Linked DNA regions of Nothobranchius furzeri. The protein of the gene in region 2 interacts with the protein of the main gene of each other region in a biochemical or structural test. Links are inferred from orthologs where the notes say so. Each region holds a gene or a part of one and is shown on either strand. Other genes may lie near its edges. The genes, in order: abl1, atm, rpa2, atr, eukaryotic translation initiation factor 4E-binding protein 1, chek1 and rbbp8.

The links.
Region 1: of the proteins of atm (region 2) and abl1, one has a biochemical effect on the other in vitro, tested with the Homo sapiens proteins (3 studies listed by BioGRID and IntAct, with this or other methods). The link is inferred for Nothobranchius furzeri from reciprocal best matches to the Homo sapiens genes ATM and ABL1.
Region 3: of the proteins of atm (region 2) and rpa2, one has a biochemical effect on the other in vitro, tested with the Homo sapiens proteins (3 studies listed by BioGRID). The link is inferred for Nothobranchius furzeri from reciprocal best matches to the Homo sapiens genes ATM and RPA2.
Region 4: of the proteins of atm (region 2) and atr, one has a biochemical effect on the other in vitro, tested with the Homo sapiens proteins (2 studies listed by BioGRID, with this or other methods). The link is inferred for Nothobranchius furzeri from reciprocal best matches to the Homo sapiens genes ATM and ATR.
Region 5: of the proteins of atm (region 2) and eukaryotic translation initiation factor 4E-binding protein 1, one has a biochemical effect on the other in vitro, tested with the Homo sapiens proteins (2 studies listed by BioGRID, with this or other methods). The link is inferred for Nothobranchius furzeri from reciprocal best matches to the Homo sapiens genes ATM and EIF4EBP1.
Region 6: of the proteins of atm (region 2) and chek1, one has a biochemical effect on the other in vitro, tested with the Homo sapiens proteins (2 studies listed by BioGRID, with this or other methods). The link is inferred for Nothobranchius furzeri from reciprocal best matches to the Homo sapiens genes ATM and CHEK1.
Region 7: of the proteins of atm (region 2) and rbbp8, one has a biochemical effect on the other in vitro, tested with the Homo sapiens proteins (4 studies listed by BioGRID, with this or other methods). The link is inferred for Nothobranchius furzeri from reciprocal best matches to the Homo sapiens genes ATM and RBBP8.

The regions. Positions count from the first base shown.
Region 1 is NC_091746.1:53,706,454-53,710,005, reverse strand, and holds the end of abl1 (tyrosine-protein kinase ABL1), read right to left. Parts: intron 2,550-3,552; coding exon 937-2,549; 3' UTR 501-936; downstream 1-500. UniProt on the Homo sapiens protein: Non-receptor tyrosine-protein kinase that plays a role in many key processes linked to cell growth and survival such as cytoskeleton remodeling in response to extracellular stimuli, cell motility and adhesion, receptor endocytosis, autophagy, DNA damage response and apoptosis.
Region 2 is NC_091753.1:29,145,777-29,149,276, forward strand, and holds part of atm (serine-protein kinase ATM), read right to left. Parts: coding exon 3,394-3,500; intron 3,316-3,393; coding exon 3,204-3,315; intron 3,115-3,203; coding exon 2,944-3,114; intron 2,806-2,943; coding exon 2,630-2,805; intron 1,556-2,629; coding exon 1,312-1,555; intron 1-1,311.
Region 3 is NC_091745.1:71,988,068-71,991,096, reverse strand, and holds the end of rpa2 (replication protein A 32 kDa subunit), read right to left. Parts: intron 1,450-3,029; coding exon 1,324-1,449; intron 1,184-1,323; coding exon 1,089-1,183; intron 904-1,088; coding exon 816-903; 3' UTR 501-815; downstream 1-500. UniProt on the Homo sapiens protein: As part of the heterotrimeric replication protein A complex (RPA/RP-A), binds and stabilizes single-stranded DNA intermediates that form during DNA replication or upon DNA stress.
Region 4 is NC_091758.1:22,156,164-22,159,663, reverse strand, and holds part of atr (serine/threonine-protein kinase ATR), read right to left. Parts: intron 3,484-3,500; coding exon 3,313-3,483; intron 3,218-3,312; coding exon 3,054-3,217; intron 2,900-3,053; coding exon 2,747-2,899; intron 2,612-2,746; coding exon 2,413-2,611; intron 2,312-2,412; coding exon 2,055-2,311; intron 1,970-2,054; coding exon 1,773-1,969; intron 1,667-1,772; coding exon 1,566-1,666; intron 1,415-1,565; coding exon 1,243-1,414; intron 1-1,242. UniProt on the Homo sapiens protein: Serine/threonine protein kinase which activates checkpoint signaling upon genotoxic stresses such as ionizing radiation (IR), ultraviolet light (UV), or DNA replication stalling, thereby acting as a DNA damage sensor.
Region 5 is NC_091757.1:46,259,649-46,263,808, forward strand, and holds the start of eukaryotic translation initiation factor 4E-binding protein 1, read right to left. Parts: upstream 2,801-4,160; 5' UTR 2,479-2,800; coding exon 2,343-2,478; intron 1-2,342. UniProt on the Homo sapiens protein: Repressor of translation initiation that regulates EIF4E activity by preventing its assembly into the eIF4F complex: hypophosphorylated form competes with EIF4G1/EIF4G3 and strongly binds to EIF4E, leading to repress translation.
Region 6 is NC_091750.1:44,924,781-44,928,280, reverse strand, and holds the end of chek1 (serine/threonine-protein kinase Chk1), read left to right. Parts: intron 1-2,873; coding exon 2,874-2,975; intron 2,976-3,121; coding exon 3,122-3,211; 3' UTR 3,212-3,440; downstream 3,441-3,500. UniProt on the Homo sapiens protein: Serine/threonine-protein kinase which is required for checkpoint-mediated cell cycle arrest and activation of DNA repair in response to the presence of DNA damage or unreplicated DNA.
Region 7 is NC_091747.1:41,223,983-41,226,910, forward strand, and holds the end of rbbp8 (DNA endonuclease RBBP8), read right to left. Parts: coding exon 2,836-2,928; intron 2,655-2,835; coding exon 2,584-2,654; intron 2,500-2,583; coding exon 2,432-2,499; intron 2,349-2,431; coding exon 2,099-2,348; intron 2,026-2,098; coding exon 1,866-2,025; intron 1,779-1,865; coding exon 1,690-1,778; intron 1,609-1,689; coding exon 1,491-1,608; intron 1,396-1,490; coding exon 1,261-1,395; intron 1,176-1,260; coding exon 1,151-1,175; intron 1,084-1,150; coding exon 996-1,083; intron 922-995; coding exon 780-921; intron 712-779; coding exon 614-711; 3' UTR 501-613; downstream 1-500. UniProt on the Homo sapiens protein: Endonuclease that cooperates with the MRE11-RAD50-NBN (MRN) complex in DNA-end resection, the first step of double-strand break (DSB) repair through the homologous recombination (HR) pathway.

The DNA.
Region 1 (3,552 bases), on a different chromosome or scaffold from region 2:
GGGTGGAAGGTCTTTACATACTGTAGGCCTTTATTTTTGATAAAACCCTATCAGGAAAACAGCCTGTTGACCTTGTTGCCCCGATCCAACGCTATGCTACCGATGGCTTTTATTTGAGAGAAATCTGTATCGTCAAACATTTGCATATATTAAAAAATAAGATCCAGTCTAAGAAAAGGGTTCAACAGATCACCAAATTGCAGATCATGCACCTGTGCCAGTCGGTACAGCCAAGAGGCGTGCTGTTTTTTTTCTCTAGTGGAATTGCAAACATTTACGTTCCGTGAACCAAAAGCCACTCTCAAGCATGCCAAAGCTTTATATTTGCACCTGAACGTGTGAAGGCTGAAGCAGGCCTGCTGGTAGTGTTACAGGCACCGTTTGTTACCCAAGTGTGCAGGAAAGCAACATAGTGAAGGAAGGCTGGAGGCTCAAAACTACCTTAAGCCAATGCTCCCATTACTTTATGGCACGTGGTTGCCAACACTCTTAAAAACACACTTGCACAATCTCATCCGCATACAACCCAATACGAAAATACAACTTAAAATGCATCGATGAGGTTAAGTGTTTATAGTAATTGTCGAAGCTCAACAAAAACGAATGAAAGCAGACATTTTCATGATCGTACTGATTTGTGGGAGGGGTTAAATCAAATAGAATACATAAGACATCAATTGGAAGATGATTGGTGACATGGAGAATTGGCCCCAGCCTCATTAAGGCCTACGTGATGTGCATTCAAAGATACAACTGTCTAAAAAGATCCACATACATTTTCAGCTGACTCAGTTCATTGTAACCACAGGATTAATAGTCAACTGTAACGAACCTACAGCGCTGTTCTCAAATGCATCACACCCCTCACTGGCCACAACACAGAAGGAGTAATGGAATTTAAGTTCATATAGTCTCGATCATTGGACGTTTAAGGTGCTACCTCTGAACTATGTCCGTGATCTCCTTAATCGAGGACAGCAGCTTTTTGAAGTCCTGCTGAGCACTAGAGCCCCCCGTGGCAGAGGGGCAGATTTGAAGCTCACGCAAGCTGGTCTCAAGCTTGTTGTTGGCCTCTCGAAAAGCAAACTTGTTCCTCATATGTTGAATGGAGTCAACATAGCTCGTGCAGTACTTCGACAGGTTCTTGCCGGTCTCCAGCACGGCGCTGTGGCTCCCAGTTTGATCCTCCATGCGGGAGATGGCGAGGAAAAGCTGCTCTGCCCCATCCAGCAACATGTCACGCGTCACGGCTGAGTTTGGTGTGCGCTCGGAGGATTGGCGGGGCGCTGTCTTGCGGAGAGAGCGTCGAGCAAATGCGGTTGAGTTCTGATCGGTGTTGGGGGTGAGAGAGAAGCCTCCCTGGCTCAAGCTGGAGGGAGAAAGGGTCAATGAAGTGGAGGGTTTGAGCGGTTTATAGGTAGAGCTCAGGGGCGCCTTTTTGGATCCCTCACTGGTGGGCGAGCGTGCTTGGTCACTAGCAGCAACTGTGTGGTGGGAATCTGAAATGGAAGGAAGGTACTTGATTTTGATGTCTGAGGGGGAAGACGAAGGGGAAGACGAAGGTGAGGGGAGTTCTTGAGTGGGGCTACGGGCGATCTTACTGGTTTTGGCACCAGTGGGAGGTGGAGGTGGGGCTGGTTTGGGTTTCTGGAACTTCCCTCTTCCCCTGACAGACGAGGACTCTACCATGTGCTTGCCTCTGCGGGCTTTGCACTCTTCAACTCCTCCTAAAGTGAGTAACACTTCAGCACCGATCCTGGAGTTCTCCTGCCCGGGCACACCGGGTCTCTTTACCACCTTTGGTGTCAATGCCTGGAAACTGGGACCAGAACAGGGTTCTGTGTCTTTTCCAAGGAGAGAAGAAGAGGCCTCTGAGGAAGTGTTCAGACGTGGTGGAGGAGTCAGGGTGCCCATTCGCCGGGTGTTCTCTCCTTTCTGCTCATTGGTCCTCTTTACCGGGAGAGCTGGTTTACCTCCAAGAGTGCCTGACTGAAAGTGGCGCTGGCCCAGATCTCGTGGCAAAGTGACTGATTTCCACTCAGTACCACCTCGACCATTGGACATGTTGGAAGGCAAGAGGAACCGGTTTGAATTAGAAACGGACTCCTCTTCACTAGGTGGTGTCATGGCCATCTTGCTCCCAGGACCAGGTGCTGTAGAAGCTGCCTTCTTTCTGGAGTACGAAGTTCCTGGGTAGTTAGCATTACCTCCTGCACCATTATTGATAGCAACCAAAAACTTTGAAGATTCAGTGCTAGGGGATGTGTCATTAAGTGACAAAGATGCACCGTTGTTGAAATTGTCATTGTCTTGAGGATCAGGAGTCACAACTCTCCTGTCGGTGTGGAAGTCGTCTCTGAAGGAGGAGCTGCGTACAGGTGGAGTTGGTGCACTCTTTTTCTTTTTCTTGATGAGGCTGAGGAAATTACTGACACGTGTCTTGTCTCTGGGCATCAAGCGGTCGTCTTCATTCAAGTTGTTGTCCAGCATGGAGTGCTCTTTCCTATGAAGCATTGGTGAGGAAACAGCCACCTCCGGATCCACTGGGTCTGAGGAACACCACAGACACGTCGCAGGTGAGAAAAACAGGAAAAAGTTATCCAATAAAAAATACATAAAATAATGAAAACTACTAAAATTTATGTGACATTTGAAAATGAAACATTTGAAACCACTTCTATAGCCACAACTCCACTATAAAAATTGTACAAAATTTCTGAGAGAGGGAAAATATGATGGCTCGGTCTGGTCCTCCCAGCCCTTTTAGGACTTAGCTATTACATCAGTATAACACAACTGCTTTGGCGGTGAGGGACGTCACTGATTAGATGCAAAAGGCGTCCACAGACATTTATAACATTAAAGGAGTTTGATTTTGTCAAAGTACGTAGGTCACATCGTTCAGGGCAATGGTTCCTAACCTTTTTTCACGAGAACACCCTTTCCTGTGTCCAAGACAAGCCAGGGCCCCCCAACCCTTACTCCTACGTGCATGCACACAATTAAAGTGAATAATTACAAATATATACAGAGTGGTGCCTCTATTGGGTGTGTTATCTGGATTTTATAAATGTAGTTTTTACAACTATAATCCTGGTAATCTCATAACTGCAGCACATACAAAATTGTGGGGAACCCCTTGGGGAGTCATGGACCGCAGGTTGGGAACGACTGGTTTAGGGATGGCAGAGAGCTCTTGTTTGACATGAAAAGCTGCAATCAATAAACAGAAGAAACACTAGTTTTTATTGTGCTCTTACTAAAGACCATACAGCAGCAGAAAGTGGTGCGTTGTGGAGGAACTGTTGCCAGACTTGTTGGCATTGGGACTCTAGAAACAGCAACTTTAAAGCAGTACCAACGCGGCTTATTTTCTTTTTCTTCCATTCTGCTTCACCAGAAACCCTTCCAATTTCTAAATACCAGCTGTTTGGTGACGTCTACCGATAGAATTATTTCCCACTGAATGGCTTAGAAAGCAGTCCTTTCGGCTCGGCCCAGTAAAATGGAGCAACGCAAAAAAACTGTGAAGGTCTGGTAAAAAATTACCCA
Region 2 (3,500 bases):
GAGGAGATGCACACAACATGAAGAGCGCAAATATGAGATAAAACGTATAATTGCCGGCAGGTCTGGTCTTAGTTGACTGATCACTTTGTCTGGTAATGACCGACTCTGATTATGAAGCAGATTACTGACTCTGATGAAGAAATTCACTCATCCAGCCGGGATGATTGACGCTGCTGCAGCATCAGACAGCTGGTGCTGCACGAGAGGTGTGTGGAGTTTACAAGCTCCAAATGTTGGGTTTGATGGACGTGATGGATGTAGAAATGATGGTAAAAACGCCGCAAACGTGACAGATGTAGCGATGATGTGAAAGAAATGCCGTAAAAAGGGGCAGATGCCAATGCGTTATGTGTGGAAGTCAAGTGTGCCACATAATCATAAAAAAGTAAAACATAAAATTTTAAAAGAGATTTACATATTTATATATAAATAAAACCTTTCCAAATATAATGAAAATTTATAAACAACGTAAAAATACGAAGGAACATCTGTTGGTCAGGCTGAAAAGTTAGGGAACTACTGCTCTAAGTGATAAGTGAATTTCGTTTTTTAAATATATTTTATGTGCAGTTTTATAGGGCTTTTATGTTTTCTGTAAAGATTGGTATGCTGAAAATCATTTAATGTTTTGCATAAAGCATGAGGTTTTGGTTAGTACTTGATTGGAAGAATAACAAATGACTGAATTAAATAGTGGGGCGCCTCTGTCAGTGCGCCCCAGGGCAGCTGTGGCTACATCGTAGCTCACCACCATCAGTGTGTGAATGTGTGTGTGAATGGATGAATGATACACTGTAGTGTAAAGCACTTTGGAGTCCTTACTCTGAGAGGCGCTACACAAGTGCAGATCATTTATCATTTATAGTGTTGATCAGGCAGAGCTTTGTTGCCAGCGTTCCACTGCACAATGGCTTCAAACACGTATATAAAAGTTAGGTTTTACGTAAACCGTTGGAGGACATTACACAAACTGACTGAGCTCTAGTTAAGGCGCTTGCAATAGTTTGTGTATGTGTACGTGTACGTGCGTGTGTGTGTGTGTGTGTGGGTGTGTGTGTGGGGGAGGGTACACTGGAACTTTGTCCCCCCCCCCCCAGTTTGAAAATCCTATCTGCGCCCCTGCCAGGAGAAATAGTCACATGCTGGGATAATTAGCTCTTATAATAAAACAAGTATTAGGAATCCCTCAAGACACAAATTATACAGTTTTCCTTATTATTTGAGCCACACACAGTCCACAAACTCGGAATGTGAAGTTCCGACACAAACCCAATAGTTGTGAGGTCAGAGTGTGCTGCAGGTGGCCTTTACCTGTTTGCCCAGACAGCTGCTGTCTTTCAGGAGGTCGTACACGCGGTGGGCCTTCTCTCTCTGCTGCGCTACTTCAGAGTTCTGACCCGGCAGCGCAAAGTACGGCAGGATGTTGACCATGATTTTAGGGAAGCAGTCCGCCAGTAAGAGCTTCCAGTCCTTCTCCAGGCACCTGCCGATGGACTTCACCTGCTCAAAGTCGTCCAGGAAGACCAGGTGTGGGATCAGCACCTGGTAGGAGGAGCTAAAAGGATCCAGAACAGAGGGGTTTTCAGGTCTTCTTGTATTCCTAACATTCTTACCAGAAATACAGGAAAATGTGTGTATTATCGTTCTTATTCCTTTTCTCTAAGTGTATTTGCTGCTGTAAGGAGTGAACTTCCCCACCGTGGGATTAATAAAGTCTTGTCTATTCTATTCTATTGTACAAAATGACTTGTAGACATCTTTGATTGTTGATAAATAAATGAAAAGTTAAATAAAACACAATAGAAGTAGTCTATAGATATGAAGAACATTACGACAAAAATAAATATATAACATAAATGTATGTATTCAAATAATAAAAACAATAATAACAAAATATTAAAATAAACAAAATATGTTAACAACTATAAATCTTTTCATATTTGTAAACATGTTTATTTTATGAAAATAGATCAAAACAACAAATAAAAAGATATAAAAACATATAAATAAATAAAATTCTGATGTATACACACAAATAAGATAATAAAAACCAATAATAAAAAAATAACTAACTAATAAAAAGAGAACAATTTAACTACATACATATACAGAATATATGTTGTAAATTATAACGGATAAATATGAATACAATAATGCTAATAATAATACTGACTGAAAAATTCAAACATAAATTGTAAATGGTCTGTATTTATATAGTGATTTCTTAGGGTTGTCCAACCCCCCCCCCCCAAGGCGCTTCACAGCACAATCAGTCATTCACCAATTCACACACACACACACACACACACACACACACACACACACACACACACACACACACACACACACACACACACTGGTGGGAATGAGCTACGATGTAGCCACAGCTGCCCTGGGGCGCACTGACAGAGGCGATGCTGCCAAACACTGGCACCACCGGTCCCTCCGACCACCACCAGCAGACAAGGCAGGTTAAGTGTCTTGCCCAATGACACAACAGCAGCATTCTCTGGTCGGAGCCGGGATCTAACCTGCAACCTTCCGATTACTGGACAACCCGCTCTACCTCCTGAGCTGCTGCTGTCCCATCAGACAAAAACTGAACAAAAATGCTAGAATAATAAATGACCTGTAGAAATCTTTGACCGAGTGATGGTCCAGCAGACTGTAGGGGAACGATCCCAGAGTGTAGCGGTCGTCTGACTGTCTCTGTGCGAGCCACTCAGCCACCAGGTAGAACAGGTGAGAGCTGATGAATGCCTTTACGCTCTTGTAGCCCAGAACTTTGGACACACTGCTCAACATCTGCAAAAATCAGAGAAGCACAAACACAATTAACCTCTTCCATGGCATTGATACCTGAATATTTTATCAGGAAAAAGGAAAAGTGAAGATTTTAATTGACTATTCTGACAATTTCTATGTGAAAACGTGACTTTCTACCTTTTTGATGAGCTCTTCCTCAATGTTGTTCTCCTTATAGGACTGGAAGAGCGCAAACAGACTCTGTTTTTCACACACTGGGCTACAGCACAGAACAACAGATAAACTCTTCAGCAGGGCGGCTTCGCGGTTGAACGTTTCATCCCGCTGGTCCTCCGATGAGCTGCTTCTCTGTAAAACCGCACCAGACACACGCGGACAGAATGCATCAGGGAGTATAAAAGGACCAGGAAGTTGCAACATGATCCGCTGGACCCTACCGGGAACTTCATGCCCTCCTGAGCCTTCAGATAAATGTTCTCAAACGCTGCTTGTTGGAGTTTTAGTGGCAGCATCGTCTTCTTATCCTTCCGTCTCATATCCAGAAACAGTCTGAATATAGAGGAGGACGGGTACACGAGTGTTAATGTAAGAAAACTAGAACAATAAAAAAGAACTGGCTGAACCCACCTCTCCAGCGACACGGCCACCAGCATACGGACTCGGTGGTGGGCGTCTGCCAGGTGGGATGGAAGAGCAGAAGACACGGGGTCGTCTCCGAGAGTCAGGATGGCCCA
Region 3 (3,029 bases), on a different chromosome or scaffold from region 2:
TCTCAAAACTTTTGGACACAGCTGTACTATTGGTTTTCAGCCCTTGTAGACAAAAGTTTTTTAAAGACCATGTAGTTTTTATTTATGCCGTGCAATACTAAGCAGTTAGTGGCGATGCACAGCAACTGCCACACCCATTAACACAGTGGCAAATATTTCTGATTTAAACTCAATATTACTAACAAACTGTATATTTATGCTGATGTCAAACTGTATATATGCAATAATCAGACACTCCCGAAAAAGGCTCATCTCCAACCACGTCAATCTACAGGAGTGCAACATTCTAGTTTTGACAAATAAACTTATGTATTTTTATCAAACCCGGGTTGTTTATATTTGTGCATTCTGTGATGTGAATTTGACACAAAATGTTAAGTTAATGTTGTGCATGCTCATATTTAAAATCAAATAAATTTGCTAAAATAAGTTGAAAAACTGATATTTGTAGTTGTGCATGTGGTTCTTTTTTTATATGTAGGAAAGAAGTAACTTCCAGGTAGATTTGTATAATTTTTAATTTTTATTATGAGAAAAGCTGAATTACAAAGATGGGTGAAACAAAATTATTGTAAATCTTTAAAATGACAAAACAGGAGAAGGGATACTTACAAAGAAACAGGAATAATTGCTATCAGAGCCATAAGTGAGAAACTTGAACAAGAAGTGACCTCAGATAATACAGGATGTGGGAACCAAAAGTCCCATTAGTACCTGAATGTCAAACATTCAGAGTGTGTCTGTTAACACTTTAATCGTTTCATCTCTGAGTCAGGGGACTTTTACTAATAAGTTATTTAAATCCTCAAAGACGACTACTCATCATTGTCAGTGGATTTGTAGTGGTCCTCGTCGATGGTAGAGAAGATGTGACCTTCGTTGCTCAGAAACTCCACGGCTTGTCTGGAACGGCACAAATAACACTGTCAAGATGTTTTTAAACTGATAAAGCATCACAAAGCAGAACCTAAAAAGTTCACACGAACGGCATAAGAACGATCTTGTTCAGACGGAGTCATCGTAAAACCGCAGAGTGAATTTTATGATGGTGAAGAATTGTGCAGCACCCAAAGCTGAGCGTGTCTTACTTGATGACAGGAAGACTGATGCCGCTGAGTCTGTGCCTCAGATCGTGCACGCTGATGCCCTGTGGGTCTGGGCAGCCTCTGATTAAACTCAGCACCTTGAGAAAAACAATAAAATATTCACGTCATCAACACAAGCCCTCAATATGTAAAAAAAACAGACATCATTTACAAAATTAATATTTCCAGGAGGGTGAAAAGAAGACATTTTAGAGTACACCTCTTAACAGTTATTTACCTGATTCTGATTTGCGCTTAGCCCATTAATGGCCACGTGGTTAACAGCCGAGCGGCTTTCTGCTACGATTGCTGGGGTTTGGTGAGACATGGAGCTGTTGCTGCTCATCCCTCCAGCAGCAGACGGCTGAAAGAGAAAAGCTCAAATGTGATGCTTGCCTTCATAAACGCACCCAGAAAAGAAAAATAAATAAATAAATAAAGCGTCTTTAATAAGAAAATACAAACTAAGAATTAGTAGCTGAAACTTTATAAACAGAAAAATTAAAAATATATATAGGCTACATATGCTTATATATTTGGAGACTTGGGGTTGTGTGCTACAACACAGGAAAGGCAACTTTAAGTTTTTCACACTCAATGTGGTTCACTTCCTGTCTGGGTAAATCACCTTAGTAACTCATGCTGAAAACCAAACCTACTGCTGAGCAGAATGAATTAAAAAATAACCACCAAGTCCTCCATTAATGCGTCCAATAAGGGCAACACTGGTGCACACGGTCTATTCTCCTGTCCTCCGTGTCCCGGACGAACGAAAGAGTGAAACATGTTTACTAAACTCAGGGTATCTGCAGGTTTAAGGGAGTCAAATTTAAGACTTTTTAAGGCCACTTTGACCAAATTTAAGCTATTTTTTAAATTAAATTTAGGCTATAATTTCCAGCTGTTGCCTGGAACCGGTGCTAACCACGTCGTGAACGTGGGATTAGCCATACAGTTACCATTAATGTTGCACTTCCCCATGGCGCAAACTCCCACTAGCGTGCTCATCTAAAAATAGCCCCATTTCACAACCAAACGAATGTGTACGGTTCCGCTTACGCCAATATCATACACAAAAAATGCTGAACTAACTAGAAGTTCACGAAAATTTTATAGAAATAAAATAATCTCGTTTATTGGGTCTTCGGGAATTTAAGACCTATGGAAACTATTTAAGGATTATTTGTCATTTTTAAGGATTTTTAAGGCCTTAAATTTGGAAAAGCAAATTTAAGACTTTTTAAGGACCTGCAGATACCCTGTAAACTGGATCTAACTGGTTCCTGCATGTTTCTATCTATCAATAGTTTTAAAGACTAATAAAATGAATTAATGGAAAACATAAAAGTAGCCTTTTATAGTCCGCTTCAGTGAATCTAACATAATCTCACTCGTCTTCTTTAAAGCAGAAATTAAACAGTTTGAAAGAACGAGGCTGAAATTTTCTCTAAAATTCTTCAATATCAGCAAAAAATCTGCATGAAATACAGACTTGAAAACTTTTTTATTCACTAACATTTCAGAACATCTGTTCATTCTTTACAGACTCGCTAGTTTTTATTTCAGTTTTTTAAATTAGGGTTCCTTCCAGTCTCCAACTGGTCATGTGATCTGAATCTGCAGATCTCTGAACTACTTGTGACAAAAAGAAAAACCTCGCCATCTCCTCGTGTTCTGGTAATCTACATGAGGAGGAGTTACTGTATGGAGAAAATCTGCTTCCATGTCTGCATAAAGATGAAAAGTTGCCATTTCTTGTAGAAACAAAACTATGAAACAGTTTTAGAAGGAAGAATATAAATGAGCAAATTTGAACTTTTCAACTTGACCAAACAGCAGTGATGTGAAACTGCAAACATCTTAATTATAGAATATGTTGCATTAAAAAAAATTTTTTTTTTTTGCAATTTTCTGTGAAACTTAGAGACGGGTTATGGAAAATAA
Region 4 (3,500 bases), on a different chromosome or scaffold from region 2:
AGTCAGCTGATGGTAAAATCACTGTATGATAAATATCTAAATTAATATCTATCTTAGAATAAAAAAGAATAAGTACGTGTTTTAGGGTTGTCATGGTAACCGGTGTAGTGGTAAACCCCAGTATAAAAGTTGACAATAATAATAACCGTCTTGTTTTTAAAAAAACTATATTATCTCGGTGGATTACCGTGGCTGCGGTGTAGGTGTGGTGACCCTTACCAGCCACCGTATCATCTGCTGAAGTTGCCGGCGGCACATGCGCGCTTTGTTGTTTACAACCAAAACTTTCTTGAAGCTAAAACTGAAATAATGGCCAAAGGAGGAGACGGCAGCGCTCAGGAGGACATTTATTATCCCTCAAAGAAGACAAAGTGGGAAGTACGGGCATATTTTGGATATTTGAAGAACGCCGAGGGACAGTTGATAGTTGATATCCTGTTTGCAGCAGGTGCAGAAAAAGTGTCTGTGAAAGGCAGCAACGCTTCAAATCTCATGACACATCTGCGTGACCATCACCCACAACTCTACAGTCAACGCAAGGCAAGCTAACGTTAGCGTTTTAGCTAAAATGCGTGATCCGAGGATTTGGGTTGAGGGAGAAAGCAACGAGTCGCTATATAAAGCAGCCGCACCGCCGCTACCTGCCTTATAAACCGTGTCACAGACACCCCCATGTTGAAATGACGCTATGCATTACGGGGCTCCCAGGGGCAGATAAGAGTTGGTCTCTCTCAGAGAATAATTATGAATTTAACAATGATTACTGCCTGATGACATTTTCCCACATCTGCAAAGCTCACTGGAAGGACACAAACCGAGGACAATATATTCCTGATATAGGGTTTATTACTCAAGTAAGGGTAAAAAAGTATCTGATTAGAAGGCTACTTGAGTACTGAGTATCATCTGATCTAATATTTTAAAATGATGACATCAAACAGACAAAAAATAAGAAGTTATGGGCAAATCTTGGTATTTTAAAGACTAAAGGGGAAAAATGTAAACAAATAAACAACATAATTACAAAATAACACATTTTAGGCAAATTTTAGACACAAACTGAGGACAATATTTTCCTGACGTACAGGGTTTATTTAATTGTGTGAAAATGTAGCACGTTTAAAAAAAATACCGCGATAATACCGAAAACCGTGATAATTTTGGTCACAATAACCGTGAGGTTACATTTTCACACCGTGACAACCCTAACGTGTTTACAGGCCTTTTTTGTCAAATATGTACCTGGCAGATGGGGTTCTTGTATTGACTGAAAAGCGTCTGCAGTTTCAGACCTTTGGCAGCAGCCAGCGCACTGATCTGAGTGTACGCAGCCACAGACACTGAGGACGACTTGGACAGAAGACAGTGGAGGAGACGTAGCAGACAAAAGGACACCAAACTACCCTGAGAGGCTCTAACAAGAGAGGACAGAGAGGGACGATGGATACACGAGAACATCATTTCTCTTTCTGCTGAAAACTAAATTCATTAAGAATATCAGCAAATTTGAATTGCTTCTATGTTACTCAAAGATTAAATGAAACAAGAGAAAAGTGCATTTATACCTGCCAATCTCTCCGGTGGTGAGGATGAGAGTGTTTCGTAGATCATCATCTCTGTTGACTTTAGCGTTGTTGAACGCCTCCTTAAGACGTGCAACCAGAAGCTGAATGAGCAAAAAACAATAATATATGATTAAAAACGCCATTATCCCCAAAATACTCAAACCAAACCAACCATCAACAGTTTTTTTCTATTAGAAAATGTCGTACCTCATTCAAAACGCCATGCTCTGAGTTTTTGTTGGTCTCTGTCAACAGAAAGCGCACAGATTGGCCGAAGCGTGTTCTAACTGCAGGATCCGAATCCTCCATGAGGCCAATCAGGGCACAGAGAACTGCTCGGGAATCACCGTCTCCACCAGTCAGGTTCACATGTTGGCAGAGATGAGGCAGAGCTTCCAGAAACGCTGGTGAAGCAAAGGAAGCAGTGAGGCAAAGGCTTCCTAATGACAATGACACAAATCAACTAAACTGAAGAAGAACTCAAAGCACCTTGTTTAACACGACTTGGACATTGTGGTCTGAGTAAAGGGAGAAAAGGTCTAATGATAGAAGCCTTGAGAGATGCTTTTTCTTTCCCAGCATGCTCTGCTGCAAGGCTGCAGCAGAGACAGAGTATTTTAGGAGGACACGGGGACTCCACGCGGATGTCACAAAGCTCGGAGAGTCCTGAGGAGATGCAGCTGAGCTGACCAACAATCCTGGCGAGCTCCATCTTCACCTGCTCTGATGTGTCTTCCAGCATGGGCCTGAAACACCCAAGATGCAACACAAAACAAGACAGCAGCAATAAGCAAAAATGACAAAAACACTACAAGCTCATGAATGCCTGCAGAGAGGTTTTACACACAGCAGCGTCGTGTTAATCAGGTCATCCTGGGAGTCTCCCAGGTGGTGAAGGAGAACCGGGAAGACCTTGACAGCTGCAGCTCTCGGTGCCTCATTCTGACTCTGCAGCATGTTGCTGAAGACACACACACGCCACTTATCACACACACCGTGGTGCAGAAAGGCCAGCAGTGACACACAATCTGCCTGGACTTCAGGTGCTGAAAAGTCACAGAGTTTGATGTTAAATCAATTTGAAACTCACTCAGCTACGCAATATGTTTCTGAAGGAAAAAATGGTAATAAATTAGTATTTATCACCAGAATGTAAAGCAAGACTTGTCACGATTCCTCACCGTAACAGAAGCTGAGTCTCTGAGCCAAGGTGGGGAGCCAGGAGGGAAATCTTGAACTCTTAAAGACGGATGAAGACTTGTTCTCACACACCCATGGAAGAGACAGCAGAGCACACACATGCCGCTGGAGCTCATCCTCCACCTGGCTGCTCACTGCACAAGTATAAAAACATGATCACCACCATGCTGTTGTGATTACATTAATTCTTGACTTGATTGGTGTCAGAAATTTTACAGTAAACACGAAAACGATGGAAATAGCAACCCGAATTTAGACCTCCAGAGCTGCTTCTGTTTGCGTCCTTACATGTTAAGAAGAGAACAGAGTCAAGGATGCTGACAGTTGCCCGGAAAGCAGCATGAAAATAGTCCTGATCAGACACAGGTGGAGAGGCTCCTTCTAACACAGACTGGCAGCTCTTCAACATCCTGCCCAGAGTCCCTGGGGACAGCCAGGCCAAACGGAGTGAACTGTAGGGAAAGAGATCACAATCTGACATTGATCTTTGCAAAAAATCATCATCAGCAAGACTGGTATCAGTATTTAAGAGACATAAGTGTATTACCTGATGGGAGAGGAGCAGCAGGCTGCCAGGCGGAGGATGAGAGTTAGACCCTGCAGTGCAAACAGCACCTGTGTGCTCTGAGCTTCAGCAGAGTCCAAAAGTGTGAGCAATTCCTCAAGACGAGCGTTCAACACGGACCAAACCTCACCCTGAACCTGCATGGCCAGCTCACTACGGACATATAAACA
Region 5 (4,160 bases), on a different chromosome or scaffold from region 2:
TGTGTTATTAACGTAAATCTGAAATAAATAAATAACAGGTCTGTTTTAATTAGGGATGCACCGATACCGATACTGGCATCGGTACCGATACCAGTATCGGTATCAGTGAAAGTTAACCGATACCAGGAACCGATACCAATGCAGTTGCTTGAAAATGGCTTCACTGTAACTTGTCATTTCTGTTCACCTAATATTTTAGTTTTGTGATGATTTCCATTCATATATTTTACTTTTTATTTACCTCACAGTCTTTTCCTGTTGAAAGCAGAGAAGAAAATAAAATCTGTATTCCATATCATTGCATTTTTTTGTGTGGTGGAAGTATCGGTATCAGTAATCGGCAGCGGCAAGTACCCAGATCCAAGTATCGGTATCGTATCGGTTTGGAAAAAAGAGGTATCGGTGCATCCCTAGTTTTAATCACAATGTCAGTTAAACAATGAAGCCTCTTTGGCAAAGCAGTAACAGCTCTGACCTCATTAAACTCTTAAAATAAACAATCTGTCAGATTTAAAAAAAAATCTAGTTTTGTTGGATTTATTCAGGGGCTGATCTACTGGGGTGGCAACTGCCTCCCTAAAGGAAAGTTTTGCCACCTCAGAAGAAGGCAGCAATAATTCATGAAATAGTTGTGGCAAATCAGACATTATGAATGTGAAAGTAGCATGTCCGATTACACCGATCATGACACAAGCTGATAAAATAATGACCTGAAATAAAAAAAACATATATGGTTATGTAAATACTGATGAATTAACAGGGAAAGAAATGTGTTTGAGTGAATAATAAAACTAAAGTTTAGTACCTTGTTGCAGTGAAACATTGTGTTGGTGGTGGCACAAAATGCCAGCCCACTCCAGAGTGGCTGTGGCTACATCGTAGCTTACCATCCCCGGCAGTGTGAACGTGAGAGTGTGAACAATATAACCTTCTGAGTGGCCTAGTGGTAAGAGTGTCCGCACTGGAACTGGGAGATCGTGGTTCATCGGGTTATCCCAAAGACTTTAACTCATTCACTGCCAGCCATTTCCTGATCGCTGAAGACCTTCACTGCCAGCATTTCTCGCCATTTTTACTGTTTTTTAAGAGTCACAGAACGTTGCGCGCTAGGATGATGTCGACGCCAAAACAACCAAAACAAAGAGGAGACTCACCTCTTAGATCAGGAAGAATCCGCGTGTTTCAAGCGTTATCCATTCTTTCATAATTCGTTGTCGAATTGTGATCGGCAGACGCTTTTCCGGTTCGCGCCTCATGTTTTTTTTTTTAAAGGAACAACCCAAACCGATCTCCTAACACATGGATTTTCTGCTTCCTGGTCATGTGACCTGTGACGTATGCGGATGAAGATCAGCTTCAGAGCTGAGACGTTTGCTTCTCGGCGCGGGGACTCGTTCCAATGCCCACACAGTAAAAAAATTCCAATGACGACTATTGGCAGTGAATGAGTTAAAAATGGGACCCAATGCCTCCCTGCTAGACACTCATCTTTAACCACCAAATAGTTCCCGAGTGCAGCCACTGCTACAGCTCACCGTTCCCCATGAGGATGGGTCAAATACGGAGATGTCATTTCACCAGCGTGTGATGATGACTAATGGGACTTTAATGGAATGCGCTTTGAGTTCCAAGAAAAGCACTGTATAAATCCAATCCATTATTGTTATTATTATTTCTTTCCATATAGTGCATCTATGCTGACCTTGGTACAGCTCAGTGCATAGGAATTCACAGACACATTTTTAATGGATAGTTTAGTTCAAAAGCTTTTGTGTGCCCAAAGAGTATAGTAATTTATGCTCCATTTTACCATCCTCAAAATTTTGCCCCCTTCTGCCACCCCGTACATGTTTTTCTAGGCCCACCACTGGATTTTTTTCTTTTGCTGCATCTGATCCCAAATTCCAGTCCAGTAGGTGGTCGTAATGGGCTTTTAAACTGGTTAGGTCACCGCCAATAAACTCAAGAGCACCGATTTGATCACGTGACTCAGATCCCAGTGACAAGATGTACAGAAGTCAAAGTAAAACCCTAAAAACGATTTTCACTTAATTGAAAATTAGTTATTGTGTTGCAAAATTACATTTACAAAACGACATTGGTCATATGCCTCAAAGCCACTTTTTAGTTTTTCACTATTCTGTTTTTTCAATGATCGCTAGTTAGCGTTAGCGGTTAGCTTCAGTATAGCTAGCTATCAGATGACAGCAGCCAAGCCGACCTCATGGAGTTAGCATGAACACACGCAACAACGCTGCTGTTAAATGGATTCAGGTCTCGTGCCACTGACCTTTTGACCAAGCACACAAACGTTAATGTGGAGTTAAAAACACACAACGTACCGCCCGGTGTGGTGCTAAAAAGGGTCCCCCCGGGAGTAGTGGAGTAGTCGTGTGGCATGTGGTCCGCTTCGTTGACGGCCACTGTCCTGGTGGACGGGATGGCCTTGGCATTTGTCTTCTGAAAGTCTGTGGACATCTTCTCTCAACTAAAAAATTAAAAGTAACTAACTGGATGACATGAAACAAGAAGAACGTCTGGGTTTGACAGAACAAAGCCAGAGGAGTGTTAGATTTGGCTCAGCAGCAGAACGGTCGCCTTCTGATGAATAAAAATAAATATCTAGATTTCATGAGTGCAAACTATGGCGATTAAAGTTAGCCACATTAACACACGCGCTCTCACTCAAAACGGGTCGAGGATGTTTGGTGAAAAAGGACCTCAGCAGCACCCGTTTCTCTGTTTCCACATGCACACAAAACAACACACAGACATACGCAGGCAGACCATCAAGGCATACAGACAGGCTGCTGCAGCCCTGTAGGGAGAACGCTGTTCGGTGCAAACTAAACGAATTTATTCCGCCATCTACTGGTGCATACTAGGCTACAGAGATTAAAATAATAATAATAATTATTATTATTATTTTTAAAAAACTATGTATTTATTTTCACCTCATTCTATTTGAAAATTTTCTTAAATACAAAATCTGCAGACACTGTTCCAGATTTTCACCTTTTAAGGAACGTTATATTGCGTTATTATGCTTTCAACAAGAAGATTGCCTTATTCTAGTCCGCCTCCGAAATGATTTTAAATCATGTCAAGTTGACAGATGATTTATTTAAAAGGAGCAAAATCAGTAAGTAAATCCTGCTGTCATCTTCTGCTCAAATATAATTATTGAATTTATTCAGGTGTGTGTGTGTGTGTGTGTTTCTTCGGCATTTTAATGTATTTTCAATACAATTTGCTTTTAAAAGCCCTTACATAATTGTTTTATTTATTCTGACCACATTCCTAGCTCTGAGATGTTAGATCTATAACTTCACAAGTTTTAATAACACAAAGAGAAGCTTTTAAATCAGATTCAGATTTCATGAATTTCTTTGAATTCATGTTTCTTTTTTGCAGCACGTCTATAACAGACTTCCCCCAAAGCTTGATGCATCTCCTGGCAGGATGGTTAAACGAGCGAAGATCTACTCACTGTGTCAGTCAGGAAAAAACACACTTCAAAGTCAAGAAACGTCATTTAAAGACATGAAAAAAATTACACGCAATACGCAAAGATGTTTCATTTCTTTATTAATTTTTGTAAATGTTGAGCTGGTGTACAGAGTAAATTGTCAACAGATGCCCTCAGATTTTGATTGGATTAAAAGGTTTTCACATGTATATTTTATGTTTGACTCTCCATGACAATAAAAAAGCAAACAAAATAAGTTAAAACACCCACAAAACCCCTATTTATCCCCAGGTTGCAGGCATTACCCAAACTTAAAAGTCTCTTAGTAGCTACAGCTGTATGATGCAAAAAGGACATCCATAACATAACAGGAATCCCAGTTGACAGGGGTGCATAGCATTCTAAGTAAATATATATATTTGTATGTTTCATATATATAGCCATTTTTATATTAAAAACTTTTTGTGCATGTGCGCAGTTGCATTCCTTAGTATCGAGTAATATGCTATTAATAATGTCTTCAATCCATTCTAAAGGAATATACATGTGTTCTCTAGTTTTTGCAAGAGTTAACATTTTTGCATGAACTTGGTGCATGTTTCAGCAGTCCATTGCAGGGCTCCTCGTCTCACTGGTGTAACCACAACACGCTCTGCTTTGCACCAACTTGGACTCTTTTCTAGCATCCAGA
Region 6 (3,500 bases), on a different chromosome or scaffold from region 2:
ACTTTGTTGATCCAAACACTGCTGATCTCTCAACATAAATGATGGGCAGATTAAACAGTTCATGCCGATGCTTCTCCCACACAACGGGTGTTTGGATCTAACTTCTGCGTTTATTGCTCGGACTGTATCGCAAGATCTCGAAAATCCCGCGCATGCTTGTTTGCCCCCCTCAGGTCTCCGCACCGGAGCGGAGCCGTTGTAGAGTGGGTACCAGTAAAATTGAGTTCGGAAACGAGCGGCTGCGGAAGGCGGGGGCGGACCGGAGCGGAGCGGAGGTAGTGGAATTTGGGGGTAAGGCTCTGGATGTTGTGAGGTTGTGTTGGTTGATGCAGCTCTGTAGTATCGCATGGGCATGGGGGACAGTTCCACTGGATTGGCAGTCTGAGGGGACCGCAGAGTGTGTTCCAACCGTGGAGCACTGGACCAGCCTTACCCCCAAATTCCACTACCTCCGCTCCGCCCCGGTCCGCCCCCGCCTTCCGCAGCCGCTCGCTTCCGAACTCAAATTATACTATACCCGCTCTACAACGGCTCCGCTCCGGTGCGGAGACCTGAGGTGGGCAAACGAGCATGCGCGGGATTTTCGAGATCTTGCGATACAGTCCGAGCAATAAACGCGGAAGTTAGATCCAAACACCCGTTGTGTGGGAGAAGAATCGAAATGAACTCTTTAATCTGCCCATCATTTATGTTGAGAGGTCAGCAGTGTTTAGATCAACAAAGTGTGACTATTTTGATAGTGGAAACTGTATTTATGGCTTACTTTTGTGCATTTAAAGTTCAGCCGCCATTGATAGTTGTTAAAGGTTGTTAAACTTGTGCATATGAAACAAAAAACGCCTTTTGTTTATCGATTTATTGTGAAAAACGGAAGTTGTGCTTGCTCCTTTTCCTGTTGGGCAGTTGTGATTCCTGTCCATTGACTGCGGAGGTGCTTCGGCGTCCGGCAAAAATAGGATCGATTCATGCTGGACGCCGGAACAGAGGGCGGTGCACTGCCGGAGCACGGCCGCAGTAGTGGAATTGCTCTGATTGACTACAACGGGACCGACTTTGCTCCGGAGTTCGTGCCGGAGCGGAGCGGAGGTAGTGGAATTTGGGGGTTAGGGGTATCCTGGAGGGTGTGTGGGAGTTTACCCATCCAATCTACATGTGTTTTGTGGATTTGGAGAAGGTGTTTAACTGCGTCCTGTGGGGGGGTACTCCAGGAGTATGGGGTACCAGGCTCTCTTATACAGGCTGTTAGGCCCTTGTATGACCGGTGCCAGAGTTTGGTCCGCATTGCCGGCAGTAAGCCGAGCTCATTTCCAGTGAGAGTTGGACTCCGCCAAGGCTGCCCTTTGTCACCGATTCTGTTCATAACCTTTATGGACAGGATTTCTAGGCACAGCCAAGGTGTTGAGGGGATCTGTTTTGGTGGCCTAAGGATTGAGTCTCTGCTTTTTGCAGATGATGTGGTCCTTTTTGCTTCATCAGACCATGATCTCCAGCTTTCACTGGAGCGTTTTGCAGCCGAGTGTGAAGCGGCTGGGTTGGGGCTCAGAGTAGACTCGCTGCTCCTCCACGTCGAAAGGAGTCAGATGAGGTGGCTCGGGCTTCTGGTCAGGATGCCTCCCTGGTGAGGTTTTCTGGCACATCCAACCGAAAGAAGACCTAAAGGAAGACCTAAGACACGCTGGAGGGACTACGTCTCTCGGCTGGCCAGGGAACGCCTTGAGATTCCCTGAAGGAGCTGGCCCTAGTAGCTGGGAAGAGGGAAGTCTGGGCTTCTTGGCTTACGCTGCTACCCTCGCGACCCAACTCTGGATAAGTGGAGTCTGGTCGTGGGGGCATTGAATTGATAGATAGATGGATAATAGTTAGTACTTTACCTTCAGAATTTAAACTTTGGTTTTGCACTAAAAGATAAATAGTTATTTAATTTACTTAAGAAAATTGTGTCATAATTATTTCTCTAAAAGAAAGATGTTTGCTTAATTATAGTTCACTGTTTGCACAAAGAAAAATAGTCATTTTGTTTTATGTACTAAATAAAAAAACATGCAAGTAATTTTTTCTATTAAAATTAACCCTTAAAGTATAGATACCCCCAAAAAGTGCCATTCAGATACTGGTACTGTTATCAGAAAAAATCCAAACCCAGCCCTGGGTATCACACATGTTCATTTCAATAAGCTGACAACAAGGACCATTGTGTTTGCTTTAATGCTAAATATGCCTCAGCAGCTACTAGCTGCATCACAGTGTGGTGTGGGAACAGCACCAGGGATCCTAAATGCCTGCAGGGCATAGTTAAGACTTTCAAAGATTACCCGGACTCCACAACCCTCTCTGCAGAGTGTGTACCACAACTTTCTGTACAGTCTACACTTAAGATAGCATTTTTTATGTTTATTTAATCTTATCTATTTTATTCCTGCTTAGTTTGGCAGTTTGGGTGACGAGGTAAGAGTTTCATGGTGGCTGTAACAACATTTTCTTTTGCACAGAATAAAGATTCTAATCCTTGGATCTCGAATCCTTAACAAGTCAACAGCTTTGTTTGTTTGCAGACGTGGAGACATTGGTAACTTTGTCTGGTCCAGTTTTGGATAACGTAATGTGTGCGTGTTATTTATTTAATTTCTACATTTTCATTATGTGTATCACAAACGGGTCCATGAGTCCATGTGTAATTTGAAGCTCGTCAGTTCTGTTGGTTAACTTATTTCCATCACTTTATTATTTAATGTAAAACTCCAGATGTCTTTCATTTTGGTTTTATGGTTTCTGCTTCTAAAACGAATGATCAAAAACCAGGAAGTACAAAGACTACTGGTTCAGACCCGTTCCTTTAGTACGTTCTTGTTGATTAACAGATCTCTGCCTCTCAGGTGACTGTGAGCATGCTGGACAAACGTAACAACAAGCTCATCTTCAAAGTCCATCTACTAGAAATGAGCCAGCGAGTGCTGCTGGACTTCAGGCTGTCTAAGGTTGTTCTCTCAGAACTGTGTGCTGTTCTGCCTTTGAGTTTTTCCTTGAAACTGACGTGTGTGTGTGTGTGTGTGTGTGTGTGTGTGTGTGTGTGTGTGTGTGTGTGTGTGTGTGTGTGTGTGTGTGTGTGTGTGTGTGTTTTCAGGGTGACGGTTTGGAGTTCAAGCGCGTCTTTGTGAGGATAAAACACAAGCTTGCTGACATCGTCAGCACTCAGAAGGTTTTAGTTCCATGAGACGTTTTTACAAACAGCCCGTCTAAAAGTGGACTTGTTGTTCTGCTGACGTGTCGAAGGTGAATCGTGGTTTTAGTTTTGTTATTAGGGAAGCTCAAAGTAGGATATTTATCAGAGCAGAGTTGTGGTTGACATGGTTTTACTCAACCTTCCGTTGTGACCCAAGTGTTTGCTTTTTCTTTGTTGTGTTACAATCCAAAGTTGAATAAATTATTAAAACACCCCTTTATGTTGGATTTCAGTGATTAAATGATGTCAGAAGCATAAACAGTTTTTATTGTTGTTCAAA
Region 7 (2,928 bases), on a different chromosome or scaffold from region 2:
AGCCAAATTTAAGACTTTTTAAGGCCACTTTGACCAAATTTAAGCAATTTTTTAAAATTACATTTAAGCTATAATTTCCAGCTATTGCCTGGAACCGGTGCCAACCACGTCACGAACGTGGGATTAGCCATCCAGCTACCATTAAACTTGCAATTCCCCATGGCGCAAGTTCCCGCTAGCTTAATCAGCTAATGTGCTCATCTAAAAAGAGCCCCCTTTCCCAGCCAACTGAATGTGTACGGTTCCGCTTACGCCAACATCGTGCACAAAAATGCTGAACACTAACTAGAAATTCACGAAATTTTTATAGAAATAAAAGAATCTTGTTTATTGGGTCTTGGGTAATTTTAGACCTTCGGAAACTATTTAAGGATTATTTGTCATTTTTAAGGATTTTTAAGGCCTTAAATTTGGAAAAGCAAGTTTAAGACTTTTTAAGGACCCGCGGATACCCTGTATATAAAACCTAGGAGATGATGAAGACAGGTTCTTGGTCAGCATCAGGTTTTTATAAGTTATTTTTATTAGACAGTGTCAATGTTTGAACTCTGCAAGAGTTCAGGGTTTTATAGAGATTTAAGGGAATAATTAGAACTAATCGGTGAGGGATGTTTCAGGTCTGCTGCTGCCGTTGCTTTGGAGAGAATAAAACATTAAACGGTTGTCGTCTCCGTGAACGAGCCTGGGGGTTCGTCTCTTCCTTGATGTAACCTGTAACACAGAATATTATAAAGCTCTAGTAAAACCACCATTAGACGAAACAAGAAGCGTTCCATTACCTCGCTCCACACACGTCTGTGTCGATGGAAATCCCACTTCCCAGAAGTTTTCAGGAGTACACGGAGGAATGTGCAGATATCGGTGTCTGGAGCAGGCAGACAGCTTTTTCTGTTTCTCCTCCTCTGGCAGATGAGCGTAGTACTAAAAGGAAGCCACAACCGTGTCAACAGCACCCAGGAATAAACACGCACCGGCTTCAGGCTCTACACACTCACAACGTCACATTCTTTACAGGTGGTGCCCTTCAGTTTTCTTCTCTCGTCCTTCTTGCGGATTACTGCCACGTGTTTAAATGTTGGCCGTCTAAAGCAGAGAAAACCGTGAGACGGGTGACGATCGGATAAACGAGGTGCAGAGTGATGGTCCTTACCCAGATCTGGATCGAGGATCTTCGTCTAAATGAAAGGAAACCAATCAGGAGATGAAGGTCAAACTCAGAATATCAGTGAAATAATGTAGGTGTTCAAAATCAATCTCTACCATGCGGTTCCTCCTCTTCATCTTGCCCTTCATCCTCTTCATCAGGCCTGCTCCGGTCTAACTGGGACTTATACTCCCCATAAGCTGTTGTGTCAAACATCATATCCAAACTGTCGTTTGCCTTCTGGCCGAGTCCTGAGAAGCGAACAGACCAGACCACCATCTTGTGTTAACGGATTATAATCCAACACCTGACTGTGGTTATTTAAAGACTTGACGGTTATTTTCACCAGACTTCGTGTCTCCTCTGCTCGGACCGTCTCCTCCTCGCCGCTGCAGCATGCTGTGGCTGACCCAAGTGCAGTCCGTGTCTGCCAGGTCTCTGTGATGCCGCTGTTCTTCTATTTCCTAAAACACAAAAGCTTTTAAGCCAATAAAACAACCCAAACATCTACACATAAAAAAAGCCAAACGACCCAGAGGCTGCACCTCGTCTCTCCTCTGCTCGCTGTTGTACACGGACAGAGCCAGTGCAGGATCGATGCTCCACGCCGGCTCCACTGTGAGCTGCTCGTCGACTGAGAACCCAGACAAGTCGAGTTTAAGGAGTGAAGAGTTTGAAATCCAACAGGATGAGATAAGGACCGTAAATGATAGGATTTCACCATCTTTTGGTTGTTTGTGTGAAGCATCCTGATCCTGCAGAGGCGTTTTTTTCTTCCCATCGGTTTCTGACTTAGATTTACTCGGCGGCTTCTTGAAATCAGAACTGAAACCAGGAGCTCTAGCTTTCTGACTGGTCCCAATGTGTTCTGCTGACTGGCCCTGGAAAATAAAACACTTATAAAAACCTGCTTTAAATCATGGCTTAACAGATGAGCTCCCTGTTTGGTCATGCCTTATTAACTGGTGGCTCACAAACAGAAGTCGCTGTTTGGTTGACGTCTCTGGGATGCTCATGTTTGCCCCCTCCCTGGATTCCTGCTTCGCAGAGTCTCTGTGAAACACTTTCGTCCTTTTTGTGTTTTGAGCTGCAGACCGAGCCTTCTTCTAAAAAGCGTTTGACAGGAGGGAGGACAGACAGGGACCTCTCCGTGGTGGAGTCTGGACTGTGGGTCAGTGTGGACACAGAGGAGCGCTCGTAGGGCCTTAAACAGGAGAAACAAACCAGCAGGGAGGAGTTTTTTAGCGCATAGTCAGATAAATGCAGGCCGGCTGCAGTTGGTCTTACTTTAAATGAGCATTGTGCTTCCAGGAACTTCTAGAGGCACGTTGATGATCTGGAGCCGTCTCCTTTACCTGGGAGCAAAATGTTTTAAACATAAAAATGTCATTATTGTACGATTATGTATCAGTGATTGGTTCCTAAACTATTTTACTTACAATGAGATTGTTAGCAAGTTCAAAGCCACAGGTATCTGGGATAGCTTCCAGCACACCTTCATTCACATCATCTGGAAAGAGACAGACACCAGACAGGTCAACTTCTGTCTGATAATAGAACTAAACCAGGAGAAGTGGACATAAATAGATTGTTTCTGATCTAAAGGAATATAAATAAAGTTATATTAAATGTAAAAAAAAAAAAAAGATTATTCTTGTTTTGATTAACTTGTATTAGAAAAGACATCTTACTGGATGTCTGGGGTGCATCCAGTTCACAAGTGTTGGGCACCAGCACTTCTGTTTTCCTGGGATTCCTTCCATCTCTAGCAGCTTTTTTGTTTT